Stegostoma tigrinum: one gene and its partner. The protein of the gene in region 2 purifies or fractionates together with the protein of the main gene of each other region. This does not show direct contact. Links are inferred from orthologs where the notes say so. Each region holds a gene or a part of one and is shown on either strand. Other genes may lie near its edges.

Region 1 (10,502 bases), on a different chromosome or scaffold from region 2:
TCTTTCGGTTTTTACTTAGCTTGGCAAACACTTGAACCCAGCTTTAAAGGGCGCAGCATCAATTAACCTCAAAATCAATGAGTGACTAGTACATTTTAATTAATATACAGCAATAGAAATAAAGCTTTCCTTTGGAAGCTTCGCCACTACACTTTGGAAATTCTCCACAAGATGGCAGCAGAGTAAGATATCCCATCCGTGGCTCCTCTGCTCACCTTTCTTTCTCTCTTTGCTGCAGTTTCTCTTCCCCTCCACCAACTTTTAACCTTCTAAACTACCCTACCTGGAGGGGGGGGGGGGGGGGGAGTACAGAACAGGGAGTGAATTGCAGCCAGAGCCCGGAGCAGAGGGAGAGAGCATGCAGGCCGAGTCCTGGACAGAGCAGGAGCACAGCAGTCGTCAGCCGGAGTCCAGAGGGCAAGCTCAGGCCAGCCAAGGAACGAATCCTGGAGCACAGTCCTGGGCAGAGGCCAGTGCGTGGAGACAACGAGGCCTCGAGTTAAGAAGCCCAGCAGACACAGACTCAGTGGAAAAGGACTATAATGTGTACTTTACAGATACTTATCATCATCATTCTGGACTTTTTAAGGTTCTGAGGAAGGATCATCAGACCCAAAACGTTAAGTTTTTTCCTTCACAGATGCTGCCAGACCTGCTGAACTTTTCCATCAAGTTTGTTCTTGTTCCTGGACATTTTAAACTCTGTATTCACACGTTAGCCTATTTTTTCTACTACTTCAATTCTATAAGAACTCAAAAGTATCTGTACCTAGGTAACTTGTACCTAAGATGCTGCCGAGAGGCGACATTGCAAACTTTTTACACACACGAGTACATGTGACAATGAAAGCTATTCTAAATTAAATGAAAATTCCTAGGGATGGATCAACAATTGTAGATGGTGCCTAAACCAATTCCCTCATTTACAGACTACATTAAGTTAAAAATGCCCTTTAAAAGTTATTTTAGAAACCAAGATTTAAAAATACTAGTGCCCAGGTGATACCAAAATAGAACAAACAATCTTCGGTTAGTGTAAAATGTTTCAGTTAGCAAACAGTATTAAATGGTTAGATTTGTGTAAATTTGCAGAAAAAGGAGACCGGAAGACTTGGGTTGTCAAGAGAGGCTGGATGGTCTGGGACTTTTTTCCCCTGGATGCTGACGGGTGACCTTATAATGTCTTATAAAATGAGGCATAGACAAGGTGAATAGCAAAGGTGTTAAGTTTTGGCAAAGATCTGTAGCTCAGGTTGAGGTTGTTGACTTGCTCGCTGAGCTGGCTTATTGTTGTTCAAATGTTTCATCACCGTACTAGGTGACATCATCAGTGGTGCCTCCGATGAAGCAATGTTAATTTACTCCACTTGGAATTTATACTGTACGGTCTGTAATGGTGAGTAGTGTCATTTCCAGTTTCGATCTGTATGGGTTTTTATATGGGGTCCAATTCTATATGTTTGATGATTGAAGTGTGGCTGGAGAACCATGCCTCGAGGAAATTGCATGCGTGTCTGTGTTTGGCTTGGGCTACTATGGTTACTTTGTCCCAGTTAAATTGATGGCATTCATTGTCTGAATGTACCTATATTAAGGAGAGTTTGTTGTGCTGCTGGCAGACATTCATGTATTCTGATGGCTAGTTTCCTTCCTGCCTGTCCGATGTAATGTTTGTGATGGTCATCGCATGGTATTTTGTAAACCACATTTATTCTGCACATTGTGGAAATGGGATCTTTAATCCTTGTTAAGTGTTTGTCGTTGAGTGGCTGTGGGCTTGTGAGTCACCGTGATTCATAGTGGTCTTAGGAGTCTTGTTATCAGTTCTGATATGTTCCTGATGTAGGTAAGTGTGATAAATGTGTTAGGTCATACTGTGTCCTCCTGTTGTCTGTTTTGTAGGAATCTGTGGATGAAGTTGTGGGTATATTCGTTTAAAGCGAGGATCTTGTGCAGGTGTTCTTCCTCTTTCCTGAGTTGCTCTGGAGTGTTGCAGTGTGTCTTGGCCTTTTTAAATAGTGTCCTAATGCAGCTTTGTTTGTGGACGTTGGGATCCAACCCGGAGAAACAGGGAATGACTCTTCTTCAGAATTACATATCCCTTTGGCTGTCCACACCAAGCAGGATGCCAGATGTGTCCAACTAGCCTCTGCTTACAAAACTGAAAACACTTTGGCCAACAGATGACCGTGACTGAATAAAGTTTGGTAAATAATCCTGAGTGCAAAAAATTACACTGACATCCATTCTAAGATTGTTTTAACGTGCAAAACAATTAAGATGATTTCTTCCTCCAATCATAATACAGCATTACATAGACCAGTGTTCCAGTTTTATAAAACATTTTGTACTTAATGCATGACCACCATATGTCCTAAACACTTTACAGTCAATGAGTACTTTGGTTAGTCATCATCATAATAAGGTTACAGGCTTGCACGCCATTGTCGAAGAAGCCTTGGTGAGTTGTTGCAATGCATCTTGTAGCTGGTACATATATTTGCCAATTTGGAAATTTTCCAAACAAACTTGCCAATTTATCAATGAAGTAGAAAGAGAATGGTGACGATATTAGATTTAGGGGCGGCACGGTGGCTCAGTGGTGAGCACTGGTCTCACAGTGCCAGGGACCCGGGTTCAATTTTGGATGACTGTCTGTGTGGAGTTTGCACATTCTCCCCATGTCTGCGTGGGTTTCCTCCGGGTGCTCCAGTTTCCTCCCACGGTCCAAAGATGTGCAGGCTAGGTGGATAGGCCACGCTAAATTGCCCATAGTCTTCAGGGGTGTGTGGGATGCTTCAAGGGTCGGTGTGGGCTTGTTGGGCCGAAGGGCCTGTTTCCACAGGCAGGGAATCTAATCTAATCTAATCTTCCAATCAAGTAGGCTATTTCTTTCCCGGATGGTGTCAAACTTCCTGAGTGTCACTGGAACTGCAATCATCCAAACAACTGAGTTACATTCGTGACTTGTGCCTTACAGGAGGGTGGGAGTGATAACTTTCTACAGAATTCCCAGCCTCTGACCAGCACTTTTAGCCATGGTATTTATAATCACTGGTTTAGTTCCGTTTCTAGACAATGGCAACCCCAAGGATGTTGATATTGGGATATTCTGCGATGGCGACGCCACGGAATTTCGAGGAAAAATTATTGGATTCGCTCTTTTTGAAAATGGACAATGACTGTCGCATGTGGCACAAACGTTCCTGGTCACTTTTCAGGCTCAGCCCTAAATTCAGAACTCCAAAGATGTGCAGGTTAGGTGGACTGATAATACTAAAGTTGCCTCGGAACGTCCAAGGTAATGCAGAAGGAAAGATCAGCCACGGCGCGGTTACGGTAATAAACTGGAAATGCGTGGGACGTTCTGCGAGAGGGTGGGCGAAGACTAGATGGGCCGAAAGGCCTTTATATGCGCTGTAGAGACTACGAATTCGAGACAGTGGCCTCAAAGTTATGCACAACTGAACCACAGCATTCTCACGTTGTGGTCCAAGACAACGCCTTCGTTCCACACAACTTTTTTTTTGAACTGCCCATTAACTTTTAAAACTAACTGTCTTGTACCTCCGTTGTCCCCAACATGTCCTCCCACCCACAGTAGCGTTACTTTACCTTTTCCTCGTTGCAGATCCTGGTTTCTGCTTGGACCTGTTGGCGGTGCAGAAGTCCGAGCTGACCCACTTCATCCTTGTGGCCCTCTAACTGGCTCTGCAGTTGCAGCTGGAGTTGGTGCTTCTGCAGCTCCGCGGTGCTGAGGTCGACAGCCGCGCGCCGGACCTTGGCGTCGAGCGCGGCCACCCGCGCCTGCAGCTCGGCGCTGCGCGAGCTCGACACCCAGTAGCTGAGCGCGAGGAAGGCCAGGCACGCGCCCAGCGCCAACAGCAGGAAGAACAACGGCGGGGAGCGCGCGCCGCGCCGCCCGCTCCCGAGGCCCAGCATCATGATAACAGCCGGTGGCGGAATGCACCGGGAGAAGGGAGACGGTTCAAACCACGCTATTGGGACGCTCTTCGGTCAATGTAGTCTTTCGAAAAAAAAGTACTGCCCGACGGAGCGAACCGTCAACGAGCTCTGTCGTTCGTCACAGAAAAGCGGCGAGGGCCTGTTCAGGCCGGAAAACGCATAAAAGTTCGGAAACCGAGCAGGACGCCGATTGTGAAATCGGAGCTGAAGCCAGGCACCTGCCACCTCATGGCTCCACCCTCACTGCCGTCATCTCCCCGACACCCCGTTCAGGATGGTGACTGCCGACCTCCGAAAGGCGGCTCCCAGCGACGGCTAATCTATCCGCTAATGGAAAGTTACAACATCACCACAAAACATTACAAAACCAACGACGGAATGCCTTCTAATGCTCTTTTGCCTCCAACATCTCCACATCAAATCCACCAAATCATCCCTCCCTCATTATTAACTCTGTGCCATGGTAGGAAACTGTTGGTTTCAAAATACCCAGGCCGTTTGCAGGAAGGTTGGCTAATCATTTTGCGTGGGAATGGGGATTCGGAGGGAAGGTATGGGAAACATTTCAACGTAACAGTAATAATAGGGACTGCAGATGCTGGAGAGTCTGAGATAATAACGTGTGGAGCTGGATGAACACAGGCCAAGCAGCATCTTAGGAGCACAAAAGCTGACGTTACAGGCCGAGACCCTTCATTTGAAAAACCTTTTCTGATGAAGGGTCTAGGCCCGAAACATCAGCCTTTGAGCTCCTAAGATGCTGCTTGGCCTGCTGTGTTCATCCAGTTCCACACTTGTTATCTAATATTTCAACGTATCTCTTTCTCAGGGTCTAGTCAGCAAATTTTATAGAGATAATGGTTGCCACAACTGGAAACATAGATTTTGTCAAAAATTGAATTCAAAAGGAATAAATTAATCTTGTAAATTAATAATTAATAGAAATTAACAATTAAAATGGGACAAACAACAAAGCTTAATCACAAGGCCTTTTCAATTAAGAACCTCATGGGTGCCATGTTCAAAGATGTCATGGGCATTTTGAAGGGACAGCATGAACAGTCAGAATTCATTGTCCATGTTGGGACCAGTGACATAGGAGAAATAGAAAGAACCAACCCCAATTCATGATCACTAGAGAAGGGATGATAACAGGGACCGAGCTAAGGAAATGGTTTAATTAATACTGACCTTGGTGAAAGGCATTTGGAGCTGGCTACGGCAGAATTCGCATGAAAGTGAGGGTCAGAAATGAGTTGACTTACAGCCTGGGGTTTTTCTTCTTACTGTCTGACTGACTCTGCCTCCTTTAACTACAGGAAAATAATCCATGGGGCTTTGAGCTTCAAAAATGATCACCAGTACTATTACACCACCAGCAAACTTTGTGCATTGAATTGGAAGTGACAGTTTGTATCTCCTTGAAGAGATATAAATGCAGTTTGGTAAAAGGCAATCACTGCCCAACTCCGGTGGCATAGTTACCCCTCTGCCATCCGACTGTCTCATTGCCTTTTCCGTGTGGTGCGATTCTCATCTCCCTCCCAGGCTGGAGTCTCCCTGAAAGTTTCCTAGTCCCTTACCCAGCCTGCAGACTCAGCGTTCTGGCCCTCAGCATGGGGCTGCTCGCTACTCCTCCAATCACACACTGGTTTTCTCACGAATTTGCTGCAGGTCGACTTACTGATAAATCTGCCACTACTCTGGTGAGCAATAAATCCTTGCAAAGTTTTTCACCTGTATTTGCATCAAATAGAACATAAAACAAACACATTGAAAATTTAAAATTTCGCCTTAATTTTTCACCTGGCTTATGATCATCCCCATGTAAGGTTAAGTCATTATTAATGATGGCAACCCCATGAATGAACTGTAAATTTGTCTACCATGAGTGTGTGTGAAATGGTGTGCAGGAGTGCCTCTGGCTGAAATATACAAACATTGCGTTCTGGAAATTCAGAGCAGCTGGGAGCACCAGGGCGCATTCACGAAACTGTGGATCAAGGATAATACATTTCACAATGTGGTCATCCCATAGCTTAAGAAAGTTCAGGTCGAGAATGAATCAGTAACCACCAAGCAAAAAAAGGGAACCAAGACTGTATTGAGAGAAGTCCTCACATGCTTATCATTTGCAAACTGTTTTTTGCCCTTGAAAATGGTCAGAGAAAATGGTAATGCTGCTGGACCTAAGAACAATAAATATCAAGGGCAATTCCTTAGTGAGGGCAGTGGACAAGCACTTTTGCAGCTGTAGACATTACTCCAGGATAGTATGTTACCTCATGGGTGCCATGTTCAAAGATGTCATGGGCGTTTTGAAGGGACAGCATGAACAGTCAGAATTCATTGTCCATGTTGGGACCAGTGACATAGGAAGAAAAAGAAATTAGGTCTTACACATGGACATTGGGAAAGCAGAACTTCAAAGGAAATAATTTTCAGATTACTCTTGGCATTACCCAAGCGTGAGTATGTGTATAGAAGAGTAGAGCAGATGAATATGGGTCTTAAGGGATAGTGAGAAGGGAAAATGTCCATGACCTGAAGCATTGGGACCTGTTTCTGGTGGAGATGGGAACAGTACAAGTTGGCAAAGTTAAATCTGAATTGGAATAGGTCCATCCAAGTGGGGAGAATCATAAAACCCCTACAGTGTAGAAACAGGGCCTTCAGCCTTACAAGTCGACACCGACCCTTGGAGCATCCCACCCAGACCTATCCCCCTATAACCCACCTAATCTACAGACTCTTGAACACTACAGGCAATTTAGCTTAGCCAATCCACCTAACCTGCACATCTTTGGACTGCGGGAGGAAACAAGAGTACCCGGAGGAAACCCACACAGACGTGGGGAGAATGTGCAAACTCCACACAGACAGTCGTCCAAAATTGAACTCGGGTCCCTGGCGCTGTGAGGCAGCAGTGCTAACCACCCTAATTCTGTTGCATTGGATTTAAACTAGCTTGACAGGTGACAAGTAGGATGGAGGGGAGAAAGCTAAGATAGAAGTTTAAGTTAAATCATGTGAAACTGGAAGGCGGATGAAATATAGGATACATAAGTTCGATATATTTTAAGGTAAGGAGTCTGAAGAAAAAATAGATGAACTGAGGGCGCTGAAAGTCAACTCATTTTCAACGCTCACATTCATGTGAACTCTGCCGTAGCCAGCTCCAAATGCCTTTCACCAAGGTCAGTATTGGTTAAACCCTCTCCTCAGCTTGGTTACCATCTGAAAAGATACATGAATGGGAACAGTTTAGGTGAATATGGGCCAAATGCTGGCAAATGGGACTAGATCAGTTGAGGATATTGGTCAGCATTAACAAGTTGTACCAAAGGGTCTGTTTCAATGCTGTATAACTCTATGATGAGTGTAATGCAGATGATACGGTCTACAAGACTTTAATAAGGCTTTTGATAAAGTTCTTCATGGCAGACTAGTCAAGGAAAGTCAGAGCCCATGGAATCCAAGGCAAAGTTACACATGGAGTCCAAAAATTGGATGAGGCAGAAACCAAGGTGATGGTAGAGGGATGTTTCTGCGATGAGTGATATGCTATAGTGCTCCATGCTGGGGCTGTTACTGTTTGTTGAGGACATTAAAGATTTGAACTTAATTGTAGGGGGTAAATCAACAGTGAGAAGGTTTGCCTTAAACCACTGGAAATCTCAACAACTGGTCAACTGGATGGGGCTATAACAAATGGAATTATCTTTAAAAGAAGTGAGGTAATGCACTTGGGGAGATCTCACAAGACAAAGGATTACACAATGAATAATAGGTATCTAGAAAGTACTGAACATCAGAGGGACCTTGATGAGCATATCCACAGATCCATGAAGGCAATGAGGCAGGTAGATAAGGTAATTGAGAAGGCATTTGGGATATGTGCCTTTATTGACCAAGGCACTGAATTCAAAAGTAGGAAGGTCATGCTGAATAAAATATTGGTTAAACAACAATTAGAGTAAGTTTTGGTGACCACATCATAGAAAGACTGCGATTACACCAGAGATGGTGCAGAGAAGATTTACCATGGTTCACAGTGCCTGGGGTACAGCGTGTAAGCCACACAAAAAAAACAGATAAACTGTTTATTTTGCCTTGGAACAACAAAGGTTGAATAGGCCCCTGAGAGATGGTTAAGGTTGTGAGGGGCATTGATAGGAAGGCATTCTTTCTGTTAGTAGAGGGATCAATAATGGGGGAATGGTGGGGAGGATGGCATGGATTTTGGCTAAGACAGAAGGCTAAGAAGAGAGTTGAGAATTTTTTTCACTCATAGGGTAGTGTAAGTCTGGAACTCATAGCCAGAAAATGTGGTTGAGTTAAAAGCTGTAACATTTAAGCAATATTTACATATTCACTCATGTTGCCGTAGCCTCCAGGACTATTGGTCAAAAGTTGGAAAATAATTTAATGTCAGATCTTTGTGGTGGGGTGGTCAGATGGCCTATTTTGGTGCCATAGTAGTCTATGAGCCTATAGAGCAGACATTCGAACATATTCATTTCTTTTTATTCACTGGTGTAACATGGGCATCACTGGCTGGGTTAGCATTTGCTGCCTCTTACGAGTTGCCCTTGAGAAGTCCGTCAGATATAGGTACAACTACAATGCCATTAGAGAGGCACTTCCAGGATTTTGACCCAGCAACAGCAGAAGAACAGCAATATATTTCCAAGAGAGGATGGTGAGTGGCTCAGAGCAGAAGTTTCAGGTGGTGATGTTCCTATGTGTCTGCTGTCCCTGTCCTTCTAGATGGCAGTGGTTGTGGTTTTAGAAAGTGCTGTCTAAATATCTTTGGTGAATTTCTGCAGTGCATTTTTTCAATGGCGCACACTGCTAATACTGAGCATTGTTGATGGGGAAGTGGGTACTTATAGATGTGTTGCCAGTCAACTGGCTGCTTTGTCCTGGATGCTTTTTGAGTATTCAAGCTGCACTCATCCAGGCAAGTGGGGAGTATTCCTTCACACTCCTGTCTTAAACCTTGTATATGGTTTGAGGAGTTAATAGGTGAGTTGCTCACTGTGTACGACCTGTTCTTGTAGCCACTGTATTAACTATGTTATTGGTCTACTCTCAATCATCACTAAAGTGATGGATGATGATATCAACAGTGCTATCAAGCAGAACCTGCTCAGCAATAACCTGCTCAGTGATGCCCAGTTTGGGTTCTGCCAGGACCACTCAGATCCTGACCACATTATAGCTTTGGTCCAAAAATGGAAAAAGGAGTTAAATTCCAGAGGTGAGGTGAGAGTGACAGCCCTTGATTTCAAGGGTGCATTTGACTGGGTATGGCATCAAGGAACCCTAGCAAAACTGGAATCAATGGGTATCAAGGCAAACTCTCCAGTGGTTAGAGTCAACCTGACGCATAGGAAGATGGCTGTGGTTGTTGAAGGTCAATCATTTCAGCTCCAGGACATCTCTGCAGGAGTTCCACAGGGTAGTGTCCTCAGTCCAACAATCTCCAGCTGCTTCATCAATGATCTTCCCTCCATCATAAGGTCAGTAGTGGGGATATTCACCAATGATTGCACAATGTTCAGCACAACTTACAACTCTTCAGATACTGAAGCAGTTCATGTTCAAATGCAACAAGATCTGGACAATATCCAGCTTATGCTGACAAATAGCAAGTAACATTCACACCACACAGATGCCAGGCTATGACCATCACTAATAAGATACAATCTAACCACCACACCTTGGCATTCAGTAGTGTTACCATCACTGAATTTCCAATTATCAACATCCTGGGGGGGAACCATTGACAAGAAATTCAGCTGGAGTTACCACTTAAACACAATGGCTACAAGAGAAGGTCAGAGGCGAGGAATACTGCAACGAGTAACTCACCTCTTGACTTCCCAAAGTCTGTCCGCCACCTACAAGGCACAAGTCAGGAGTGTGATGGAATACTCACCACTTGCCTGGATGCGTACAGCCCCAACAACACTTAAGAAGCTTGACACCATCCAGGATAAAGCAGCCTGCATATTTGGCATTAGATGCACAAGTATCAACACCCTCCACCACTGACACTCAGTGGCACCGATGTGTATTATTTATCTGCAAGATGCACTGCAGAAATTGAGCAAAGATCCTCAGACAGTGCCTTCCAAACCCATGACCACTTACATCTAGAAAGACAAGGGCAGTAGATATATGGGAACACTACCACCTTCAAGTTGCCTTCCAAGCTGCTCACCATCCTGACTTGGAAATATATCACTGTTCGTTCGCTGACACTGGGTCAAAATGCTGGAATTCCCTCCCTAATGGCAGGTGGCTTGCAATGGTTCAAGAAGGCAGTTCACCACCACTTTCTCAAGGGCAACAGGGATGGGCATGAAATGTTGGCCAGTCAGCAACGCCGATGTCCCGTAGATTAATAATAATAAAAAATACTGGTAAGTCCAGTTGAGTTTCTGGTCAATGGTAACACCTAGGATGTTGATAGTAGTGGATTTAATGTTGGTGATGCCATTGAATATGGCACAAATGTTAGTTGATTG
Region 2 (10,805 bases):
CAAATATAGGACTGAAATAGCTGCCCTGGAAATGTGTAACAATATGTCTGAATAAATTGAATAAAAATAGAAATGAAATCTCATTGTGAATTGTTTTAAGAGATTCAAATAAAGGTGAACATTCTCTCATTATGAAAGCTTTGTTTTCCCTCTTTTTCGCTAATTCAACTTAATTTACCTCCCTTTCAGTGAACATTTCACAATCCTTAAAGTAAATTGATCAATATCAAATGACAACATGTGGTTAAAAACATCTAACGAAGTGAGTGGTTAGGGTTTGGAACGTCCTGTCTGAGAATGTGGGTGGAGGCAGGTTCAACAGAGGCTTTCAAAAGGGAACCAAATTATTATCTGAAGAAAAATTAAACGCAGAGCTTTGGAAAAATCATTAGAATAGGTAATACTCTTTGAAGGTGGCAAAAAAAGACATGTTGAATGACCTCATTCTGTGCTGTAACTGTTCTATGACTAAATAGAAGTGCCATGTCTCCCATTACTCAATATGGCCTGTTGTCCTTCTGAATTTGTACCTCAAGTAACTTTGTGGGCAAAGGATTGAAACTCTGCACATGCAATTATCAATCTAAAAAGAGGTAACATGGTCCTCTAAAAGCTTGTCCAATGACATCTGTCAAATAATTTCAACTCACAGTATGCAATGAATTGATCTGATTTTGTTGAGGTTCAGCTATTGTCCTGTCTGTGTATTAAGGGTAAGGAAATATTACCTCAGGAGATGTTTTTCTCATTCCCTGAGATTAATTTCAGTAACTCCTGATAGAAAATGCATGGATGTATGCCATTAGCTGAGGTAAGTGTAAAACTTGTATTTGATATTTTATATTGAGACAGAATCCCTTGATGTCGACTAGTGAAGAATGTCCTGTTGTATCAGTGACTCAACAACTTCAGAGAAGCAGGAACACTGACGTTTTGGGTCGAGGCCCTTATTCTGAAATGGGGGAGGGGAAGGGAATTCTGAAATAAATAGGGAGAGAGAGGAACACGGATAGAAGATGGATAAAGGAGAAGATAGGGTGAGAGGGGACAGACAGGTCAAAGAGGCAGGGTTAGAGCCATGAAGGTGAATGTAGGTGGGGAGTTAGGGAGCCAATAGGTCAGTCCAGGGAGGACGGACAGGTCAAGGAGGCGGGATGAGGATAGTGGGTAGGAGATGGGGGTGGGGCTTGAGGCGGAAGGAATGGTTAGTGAGCCGGAGACTAGCTGGGCTGGTTTTGGGATGTAGTCAGGGGAGGGGAGATTTTGAAGCCTGTGAAGTCCACATTGATATCTTTGGGCTGCAGGGTTCCCAAGTGAAATATGAGATGCTGTTCCTGCATCTTTCTTTTGGCATCATTGTGGCAATGCAGGAAACCAAGGATGGCCATGTCATCTGAGGAGTTGGGGTGGGTGGAGATATTGAAAGCCATTTCAATAAGGGTTTGAAATGGTTTCATGTCAGTGGATAAGGAGCAGGAAGACAGACAAGTTGGAGGCAGAGAGATTTTGAAGCTGGTGAAGCCAGTATTCAGTCCATTAGGCTGTAAGCTCCCAAGGTGAAATATGATGCGCTGTTCCTACAGTTTATGTCTGGTGTCACTCTGACAGTGTGGAGGCCAAGGATGATGGACATGTCACCAGGGAAGTGGGAGAGGGGAGTTAAAGTGGATGGCAACTGGCAGGTCCAGTTGATTGGTGTGTGCAGAGCACAGATGCTCCACAAACCAATCCCCAAGTCTGCATTTGGTCTTCCCAATATAGAGGAGACCACGTCAGGAGCAACAGATACGGTGGCTGAGTTAGATGAAGTGCAAGTGAGTCGCTGCCAGCTTTGGAAGGATTGTTTGTGTCCTTGGATGGAGGTGAGAGGGGACATGAGGGGGCAGGTGTACTCTCTTATGTTTGCAAGGAAAGGTACCAAGTGTAGTGGAGGGGTTGGTGCCTCCAAAAGCAAAGGCTATCTCCCTTGGCTTTACTGAAGCATGTTAACAACATGAAAGCTTCCTCGTTTACGTCTGCACTAAACAGAAGGCAAAATAGAGATAGTATGAACCTGACATCTCTGATTGAAGGGGCAAAACACAAAGAGGCAAAGCAAGACAATGCAAGGCAGGAATGTTCTGTACACTCAGCTCAGCTCAGTATGACACTGAACAAAGGACCTTGAAATGCAGCCTGGTCCAGTCGCTGAACTAGTTGCATTAGAGCATTAGAGCACAGTGTCTTTGCTGATGCATTCCAAAGTGCAAAAACATCCTGTAAGTGTGTTGGAGATCTGCCATGAGGCTTGTTAGTGAATGGAATCTAACACATGCAGATGTCTGCTGGGATGCATGTGCTAGGGTCCATGGAATATTTCCTGAGACATTGTTGCCCAGTAACCAACATTGAAGTCCTTTGAAGCAAGTAGCAAGCTGAATTTGTCTGGTATCCATTATAGTTCTCAAGTTACGTTTTCTCAATGTTGAGCTTTTTAAGTGAGTTTAGTGACACAAAGTGAAATATGGAGTTGGGCCATCAACAGTGCATTTAACAAACAACAATCCTGCTGCATTGTTATTGGTCAAGTCAATTTTCTCTGTATAACTAATTGGCAACCTGTTGGTGAATAAGAAGCTTACTCTGCTGCTCAGCAAAACATAAAAAGATGGAATGAGTTCTCCTGATGTTGAATTCAATAATGCTGGACTTTTCATCTGATTCTGCCACAAACCACATCATAGCACATTCACTCAGACCTCCATAAGATTCCATCTAGTATGTTGGAATTATTAGGAATTATTGGGATCTGGGGAGCATAATTTGAAATGGAACATGTACAGAAGAACAAAAGGTACTAGGAAGAATCGTGATTCAGATTTGAAAGACTGTAAAAGTGGCAATGAATGATGTGTGGGAAATGCGGGGGAGCAGAAAAGATACTGTCAGAATGTGAACGATCCACATATGATCTTCACTAGAAGCAATGTGGAAAGGCAACTGAGCAGAGAAGGTAGAAGCATAGCCCTTCCATCATCCCAGTCCAAACCTATAATTCAAATTATATGTAGAATTCATGCTTTAGTTGCAAACTAATGGTTTATACGTATCTGTCATTGAAATTTTAGTGTAAAAGTAGTGTATATATATATTTTATACGAGCAAGAAATTGAACACTCGAATGAATAAAGAGAGATATGTATGTAGAGATACACATATACTACAGATACTGATGTTATACGCAACAGCTACATCTGAAGGCTTCATGTGTGTAATTAGTTCAAAGCAGAGTTCAGTACGCGAAACAGCTGCTAGTTTAGTCCTTGGAGAGCTAAACAAAATCAATCTTCAAACAGGAGAAACAGGCTCTTCCTAGGAAGGCGAGATGCAGTTCAGTTGAGAAAAATGTCAAATTTACATTGACTGTTGAGAATAGTATAGGGACAGGTTGTTAAACTCCTTAGGAGACTCACAGCACTCATCTTATTCACTCTGCATGCATTGCAGTATCCAACCAAACACACACCCGACTCCAAAACATTCATTAACCCTTAAATGATTCCAAACTAAATCGAACATCTTCTCACCATCCGTGAATACTACGGCAGGAGTGGCCCCGTCTTTAACAATTGTTTGTCTTGATGGCCCGTTCGTCTCGCCTTTCAGCACCAGGGACAGCGCACGGCCCTTGGGGAGAAAGTGGGCGGATTCGGCGGTTTCAGGGTGAACCAGGGATCAGCCAATGAATTGTGTGCCGAATATTCGCAGTCTTTTTCACCCTAACACCGCTCCTTGAACAGGTGGAGAGAAACTGCTGGACAGTCTAAACACCTCCGAAAGTCCTCACCTCTGAAGAGAGACTGATTGGGGACTCCTTCGTCTGAATGGAAGTGCGTGCAGGAGGGATCACTTCAGCTTCTCTACTTCCTTACGAGTGAGAGGACAGATATGTTGCTTTTTCTAATGTTACTGCAAACTTGAGCAATATCACGTCCGCCTCGTGAATTACGTACTTCAGATATTGTGATCTGCTTTTCTAAAGAAATTAAATTCCAATTCTTTCTAATATTTGAAGGATGTTTTGCTAAAATATTGCTGAAAACTGCAATGTGGTTAGATAAAAGCATGACGACGTACTGTATGACTGAAGGGTTTGTTGCAGTGCTGTTCTGTTCATGCAGAGAAAATCTGCGTGATCAATAACAAGGCGCCAGGTACATGCATCTGGGGCTGCGTTTCCCTTAACAATAAACGGCTTCTAATAAATAACACATCTCTGCTCTACAATAACAAGATTTAATAAAAGAATAAATTGACTCTGCTCGGCTCATCATCCGCGGATGGAACAAAAACAAAGCATAATGATAACGATTTTAAAAAGATACACTCACCACCCCCCCAAAAGATTAGTCAAGGATTGTTTCAGGTAAAAACACACATCTTTGCACTGCTTCAGGGTCGCTTTGATGCTGGTTTTATTGAAGGAGGGCGATGCGATCTGGCGAACACGCTGAATTATTCAGAATCAGAGATCACGTGGGTCCTGGCCAATTCATTATTTAAATACCGGCTCCAGCAGCAGCTCTGCGTCAAAGAGCGACTACCCAACGTATTAGGGTTACGGAAGGAGACACAGACTGTCTGACCAGCGCCCCCTCGACTCCAACACCTTCACCCCCCCCTGCTCTCACCCAACCCCCGCCTCCCCCCCACAACAGCAATTCGGGGTTAAAGCACGCTCAATGCGCGCATTCAACTGCGAACATTCCCTTGGATTTTACCTGCTTTTTTTGTTCAATTTATAGGCGACTCACAGCAAATAGTAAACAATTGGTGACATCAGTTGCTATTATATTACCTAATACTGAGCTAAGCCGGTGGAGTGAGAGAAGAAAGCGTCTATTTGTTTTTTATGTCTGTATGTTAGCGCGTGTGTGTTCTTGTACCTGTGAGCATATATCTTTTTGTTAAGTTTGGGTCTATTGTGCTCTTGTACAAATAATGGTTACCATTCGAGAACTTGCTATTTATTTTAATTATCTGGGATTTTTATCTGCTGATTCCCGTCTTAACATGGAGGCCAGCCAGGCTGTCTTTCTCCAGCTAGTCCATTTATCTGGCTAGTCGATTTCTCTGCATTTACCTATCACTGCTGCGAGACTTCCCAGAATGAAAATGACTGACTATTGGACAGCCATTAGGCCCGGCTCTGCTATCTCATACTGATCATTCAACTGAACCATGCCATGATGATCTTCCTACCACCCTTTCTAAATCTCCGTTACCTGCCTTTGAGATGACAGCTTATTAAATGTCTACAATAAGACTAAAAGGGTAGTTGACACAGAGAGCTAACACACAGATCCGGCAGGCAATTAGGAAGCCAAATGGAATGTTGGCCCTTATTTCATGGGGGTTGGAGTATAAACGTAGGGAAGACTTACTGCAGCTGTAAATGTATCAGTGAGACCATATCTAAAGCATTGTGTGGAAGCAGGTCGTTCAGCCCACTGAGTCCAAACCAACTGTATGAAGAGCATCCCACTCCTCTATCCTATCACCATACCCTGCATTCCCCATGGCTCATTCACCTAGCCTGCACATCCCAGGACACTATGAGCAAACCAGCATGATCAATCCACCTAACCTGCTCATTTTATACTGTGGGAGGAATCTGGAGCACCTGGAGACAACTCATGCAAACATAGGGAGAATGTGCAAACTCCACGCAGTCGCTCGAGGGTGGAATCAAACCTGGGTCCCTGCTCCTGTGGGGCAACAGTGCTAAATACTGAGCCACCATGCCACCTGTTTTGATCCCCTTATTTAAGAAAAGATATTATTTCATCAGAGTCTGTTCAAGTAATGTTCACTTGAATTCTCTCCAGAGTGGAGGGATTGCCTTATGAGTAAAGATTAACCAGATTGGGACACTACTGATTGGAATTTGGAAGAATGAGAGGTGTTCGCATCGAAACATAGGATTCTTAAGGAGCTTGACAGGGTAAATGCTGAGAGGATGTTTCCCCTCATGGGAGAATCCAGGATGAGAAAGCAAAATCTCAGAATAAAGGAGTGCCAATTTAAGACTGAGATGTGGAGGAATTTCTTCTCTCAAAGGGTTATGAGTCTTTGGAACCCGTTACCATAGAGAACTGTGAAGGCAGAGTCCTTGTGTACATTTCAGGTTGAGATAGATTCTTAATCAGTAAGAGCACCAAGAGTTATGGGAAAAGGTCAGGGAAGTGGGAGTGTGACCTGCCAAATCAGCCATGATTCTATTGAATGCCAAAGCAGGCTTGAGGGGCAGAATGGCCTACACTTGTTACCATTTCTTACAGTCTTATGGACTAAGACATGGGCGCAGAAGTAGGCCATTTAGAACATTGAGACTGCTCTACCATTCAATGAGATCATGGTTGCTCTAATAATCCTAAAATTCACTTTCCTGTCTTTCTCCCATAACCTCACCACTTGCTTTCCCACCTATATTCTGTCATGTATAAATTTGTCTTTGGTACATTCACTTTCCTCATCCAAATCAGTAATATATGTTGTAAATAATTATAGTCCTTGCATTGATGCCTGTAAAACCCTACATGCTACAGATTTCCATCCTGAAATTGCCCTGTTATTACAAATTCTATTCATTAGCCAATCCACTACACATGCTCGTATACTACAGTCAATACCATGGTTCTTATTTAGCAGCCTCATGTGTAGTACCTTGTCAACTGCGTTCTGAAAATCCAATTTTTTTACATACGCCACATCCCTTTATCTATCTTGCTTATTACCTTCTCAAATGACTCTAATAAATTTGTCAGGTATGGTTCCCCCATCATGAAGCCAAGCTGACTTTGTTTGATCATATACCATATTGTGTATTTATAAATGCTCTGCTGTTACATCTTTATAATAGACTCTAATATTATCCGAGTAACAGATGTTATCTGAGTGGCCTATTGGCACCTTTTTGTTTCCTTCCCTTTTCAAATAAAGGTGTTACGTTGGCAATTTTCCAATTCTCTGTGACTACCAATATCTAAGGAGTCTGTTGCCACCAGTGCATCCATTATCTCTATAGCTACGCCCTTTAATATCCTTAACATATACCATTAGGGGGGTTAATCAGTCTTTAGTCCATGCGTTTCCCAAGCATTTTTCTTTTGCAATAGTTATTACGGTTGGTTCTGATATAATGCGATAGTTCCATTCTCATGAGATCTCGTGTTATAAGAAAATCATGCAATAACCATGACATTTAAAGTGATGGGTATGGAATCACATTATAGCCAATACAGGTAGGGAAAATTCACATTTTATAAATAGCATTCTATAATTGTTCAATTGTGTTAAAACCAATTTACGATGAAGAACCAACTGTTATTTATTTTCTCTTCACTTTTTGTCCATTAGCTATTTCATAATTTTGTAATGTCATTTGTGTCTTGTACCATGAAGACTGCAAAATATTTATTCAACTTTTGTCACACTCCTCCTTGATTATTATTTCCCTGACCTTGTCTGTAAGGGGCCTATATTCATTTTGAATTCTCAATTCCTACTTATACATTTAAAGAAGCACTTACTGTTTAAATTGACATTTTTTTGCAAGTTTACCCTCAAAGTTTATCTTATCCATTTTCTTTTTGGCCGTCTTTTATTTGTTTTTAAATCTTTCCCAAAATCTCAGGTTTAGCACTAATCTTTGCCAAATTGTAGGAGTTTTTTTTGCTATCAATTTAATGCTATCCTAACTCCTCTGGTTAACCATGGTTGCTTTATTGCTTTCTAGAATCCTTCTTTCTCACAAAATTAAAGTTCATTATCTACACATATTTTCCTTTATTCCAAGCGCGTGTCAGTTCTTCAAAGAACATCAATAACATTAAACGTGATCTCCCTTTCACAAAATGCATGTTGACCCTGACAGATAACTTTGAATTTTCTAAGTGCCTTTCTATAACATCTTTAATAAAAACATTCAACATTTCCCTTCTGATTCTACTTTTGTCCTGTTGATAACTGTAACATTTCTTTATATTGCCATGAAATTACCTCAACAAAGTACAGATACCCCATCCATATGTTTCCTCATTATTTCCAGCTTTGTAACAACCTATAATGTTCAATTCCTGGCCCAGAACTTTCCATAGTTGTGTCTCAATATTTCTAACTGTGTTGAATCCCACCTCCCACCTCCAACAATCCCACCCCCCACCTAAGCATCATTGCTTCTAGCTTTTATTTTGTTATGAATGCTCTGTATTTCTGCATTGGCATTTTAACTCATTTTTACTAGCGTTTTCTCTCACCTGATGTTTCACCAACCTATAGACTCCTATTCTATAATTATTTATCCCCTTGGCATTAATGTCCTGTCTTACGTTTGTCTCTCCTACATCCATTTGCCCTGTTCTGAATAGATATAGGCTGCTTATCTTTCTTGTATGTTGGTCCTCCCATTTTATGAGCTTAAAGGCCTTGTTACTCCTTATTTACTCTTTTTGCAGCTGCTTCCCATTCTATTGATGCATACACTTCCTGTCCCAGAGTAGTACAAATGTCTCATGGCAGTGAACTTGCTCTTTAGCCATGTGTCAATTCTCCTGAACTGCTAAGTCCCATGCCAATTTGCACATAGCTTGGGAAATACTGAGAGCTTATAACCTTTAAGGCCCTGCTTTTTAATTTAGAACTTAACTCCTGATAGTCATTAAGTGGTGCCTGCTCCCTATTTCTATTTATATTGTTTGTTCTAACATTGACGACTAAACCTGGATTCACCCCTTCCCTGTAAAATTCCTCTAAAGGGAGCATGAGCTCTCCCTAATGTGGCACACACTCAGTAATGCACCATTTGGGATAGAAATTTTCACATATTGAAGTCAATACAAATCACTTACAGAGGGGGTAACTGTACAGAGTCATACCGTACATCTTCCTTTGACAATGAGCAGCACTTCCTTTGTTAGGTACTCCATCATCAACACCCTGGGAGCAGAAACTTCATTGGACAAGTTGCATAAATACTTTCTTTGCAAATGTAGTTTAGAGGTTGGAAATTCTACAGCAAATAACTCACTTTTTCTCACTCCAAAGCCATCTATGAGGCTCAATGTAGATTGTGATGGAATTCTTAGCATTTGCCTGGTTGAATGCAGATCCAAAAACATTCAAGACTTTCAAAGACATCCAGGACAAAGCACCTCTTTTGACTGGAATCTGATCATTTCCTTAAGCGTCCATTTCCTCCACAGCTTGCACACAATGGGAATTGTACGTGCCATCTCCAAGGTGCACTGCAGCAACTTACTAAGTCTCTTTTAAGACCATCTACCAACAACACAAACTCTACCAAATAGAAAGACAAGGGCAAACTATCCCGTGGAGAAGAAGCCATTTCTGAAAACTGTTATAACCCCATTTGGGAAAGTGTTCCAACTCTCAAGCCCCACCATTCCCAGTGACAAAGTTTCACACTGGAGCCTGACTTATCCAGTATTACCATCAGCTAGAACCATGGAACAATGATGACACTTCAAAAAATTGCGGTACTTAATTCCCCTTGCAGTAAATTGCTACCTTTCTTTAACATCAGATCAGCTCTTAACAATTTTTGCTACTGTAATGCAAACAATTTGCACACTAAAATATCCCATTAACAGCAAAGTGAGATGGACTGAATTATTTGTTTTACTTTTTAATTGAGGATTGAAGTATTTTTCAGGATAGCAAGGAGATCGTTCCTGATGTTCAATTAGGCAGCAAAAAAAAATGCTTTCAGAGATTTATACGCACGTTATTTGTAAATCTGTAGTTTAGCACAAACACCACTATGTTCCACATAACACTGTGGGACCTTTATTGTCAGATGGGACCTTGATACACCATCATCTTAAAAGCAATAAAGTCACTAATAGTCCTACCAGACCAAACAGCTGCTCTCTCATTCAAGAGACAACTGGGAATGATTTAGCCTGGAGTCAAGGTGAGAGGCTGTAAAAGAGAGTCCCTTAACCTCAGCTGGTCCAGGAACTGAACCCATGCTTTTTACATTACTGACCACAGCACAGTATTAGGTGAGTAAGTCTTGAATTTAATTACTTTTATGAAACATCTCCATGACAAGTGAGATTTAAACAGACGTTCTGATCAAGAGGGTGGAACATTAAAACTACACTCCATGACAACCTACCCCCAGCCTAGGCTGAATGCTTAAATCTTTAGAGCACGTCTTGACCCCACAGCTTTCCAAATCACCAGGAAGCATGCTAGCCATTGAACCAGGGCTGTCAACTGTTTCAAGCAGCATGTTATCAATGAACAAGCCAAATTTGCAATGAAGGAGGGTGCTGTTGTTGAAGCTGCCAATATTTAAACAAAAATGTTAATTAACAATCATCATTGCTAAATTGCCAAAGGCTCCTCGCTGAGTTGAAGGAGATAGTGGAGGACAATAATGTCATAATGACTGACAACTTAGACTACTTACTGCAACTGATGAAATGAGTACAAGAGCACTTAAACAAATGAAAATTGAAATCACTAGTGCCGTGATAGAGATGCTTAGAAGGCACTTCTTGATATTTCTTTTTCTCCTCAGCAATTAATCTATTGAATCTCTTAAATTACTTTGCCCAAAATTGGGAATCAAAATGACAGAGAATGTCGGTGGTGAAGTTACCTACAAGACAAATATCTCCTTTCCACATCACTAAACATTGATTATATCTGTCTTTCAAACAATTATTTCTCCAGTTGTCACTGGCAATAATTGTCCTGTTTCTAGTTGCCCTAGAAAGGTCGTACTGGACATTTTC

What was found.
Region 1: the proteins of probable cationic amino acid transporter (region 2) and golm1 purify together in Homo sapiens (co-immunoprecipitation; 3 studies listed by BioGRID and IntAct, with this or other methods). This does not show direct contact. The link is inferred for Stegostoma tigrinum from reciprocal best matches to the Homo sapiens genes SLC7A14 and GOLM1.

Annotation. Positions count from the first base shown.
Region 1 is NC_081356.1:58,788,048-58,798,549, reverse strand, and holds the start of golm1 (Golgi membrane protein 1), read right to left. Parts: upstream 4,326-10,502; 5' UTR 3,946-4,325; coding exon 3,616-3,945; intron 1-3,615.
Region 2 is NC_081367.1:56,805,253-56,816,057, forward strand, and holds the start of probable cationic amino acid transporter, read right to left. Parts: upstream 4,562-10,805; 5' UTR 4,371-4,561; intron 3,936-4,370; exon of another isoform or gene 3,567-3,935; intron 1-3,566. UniProt on the Homo sapiens protein: Imports 4-aminobutanoate (GABA) into lysosomes. May act as a GABA sensor that regulates mTORC2-dependent INS signaling and gluconeogenesis. The transport mechanism and substrate selectivity remain to be elucidated.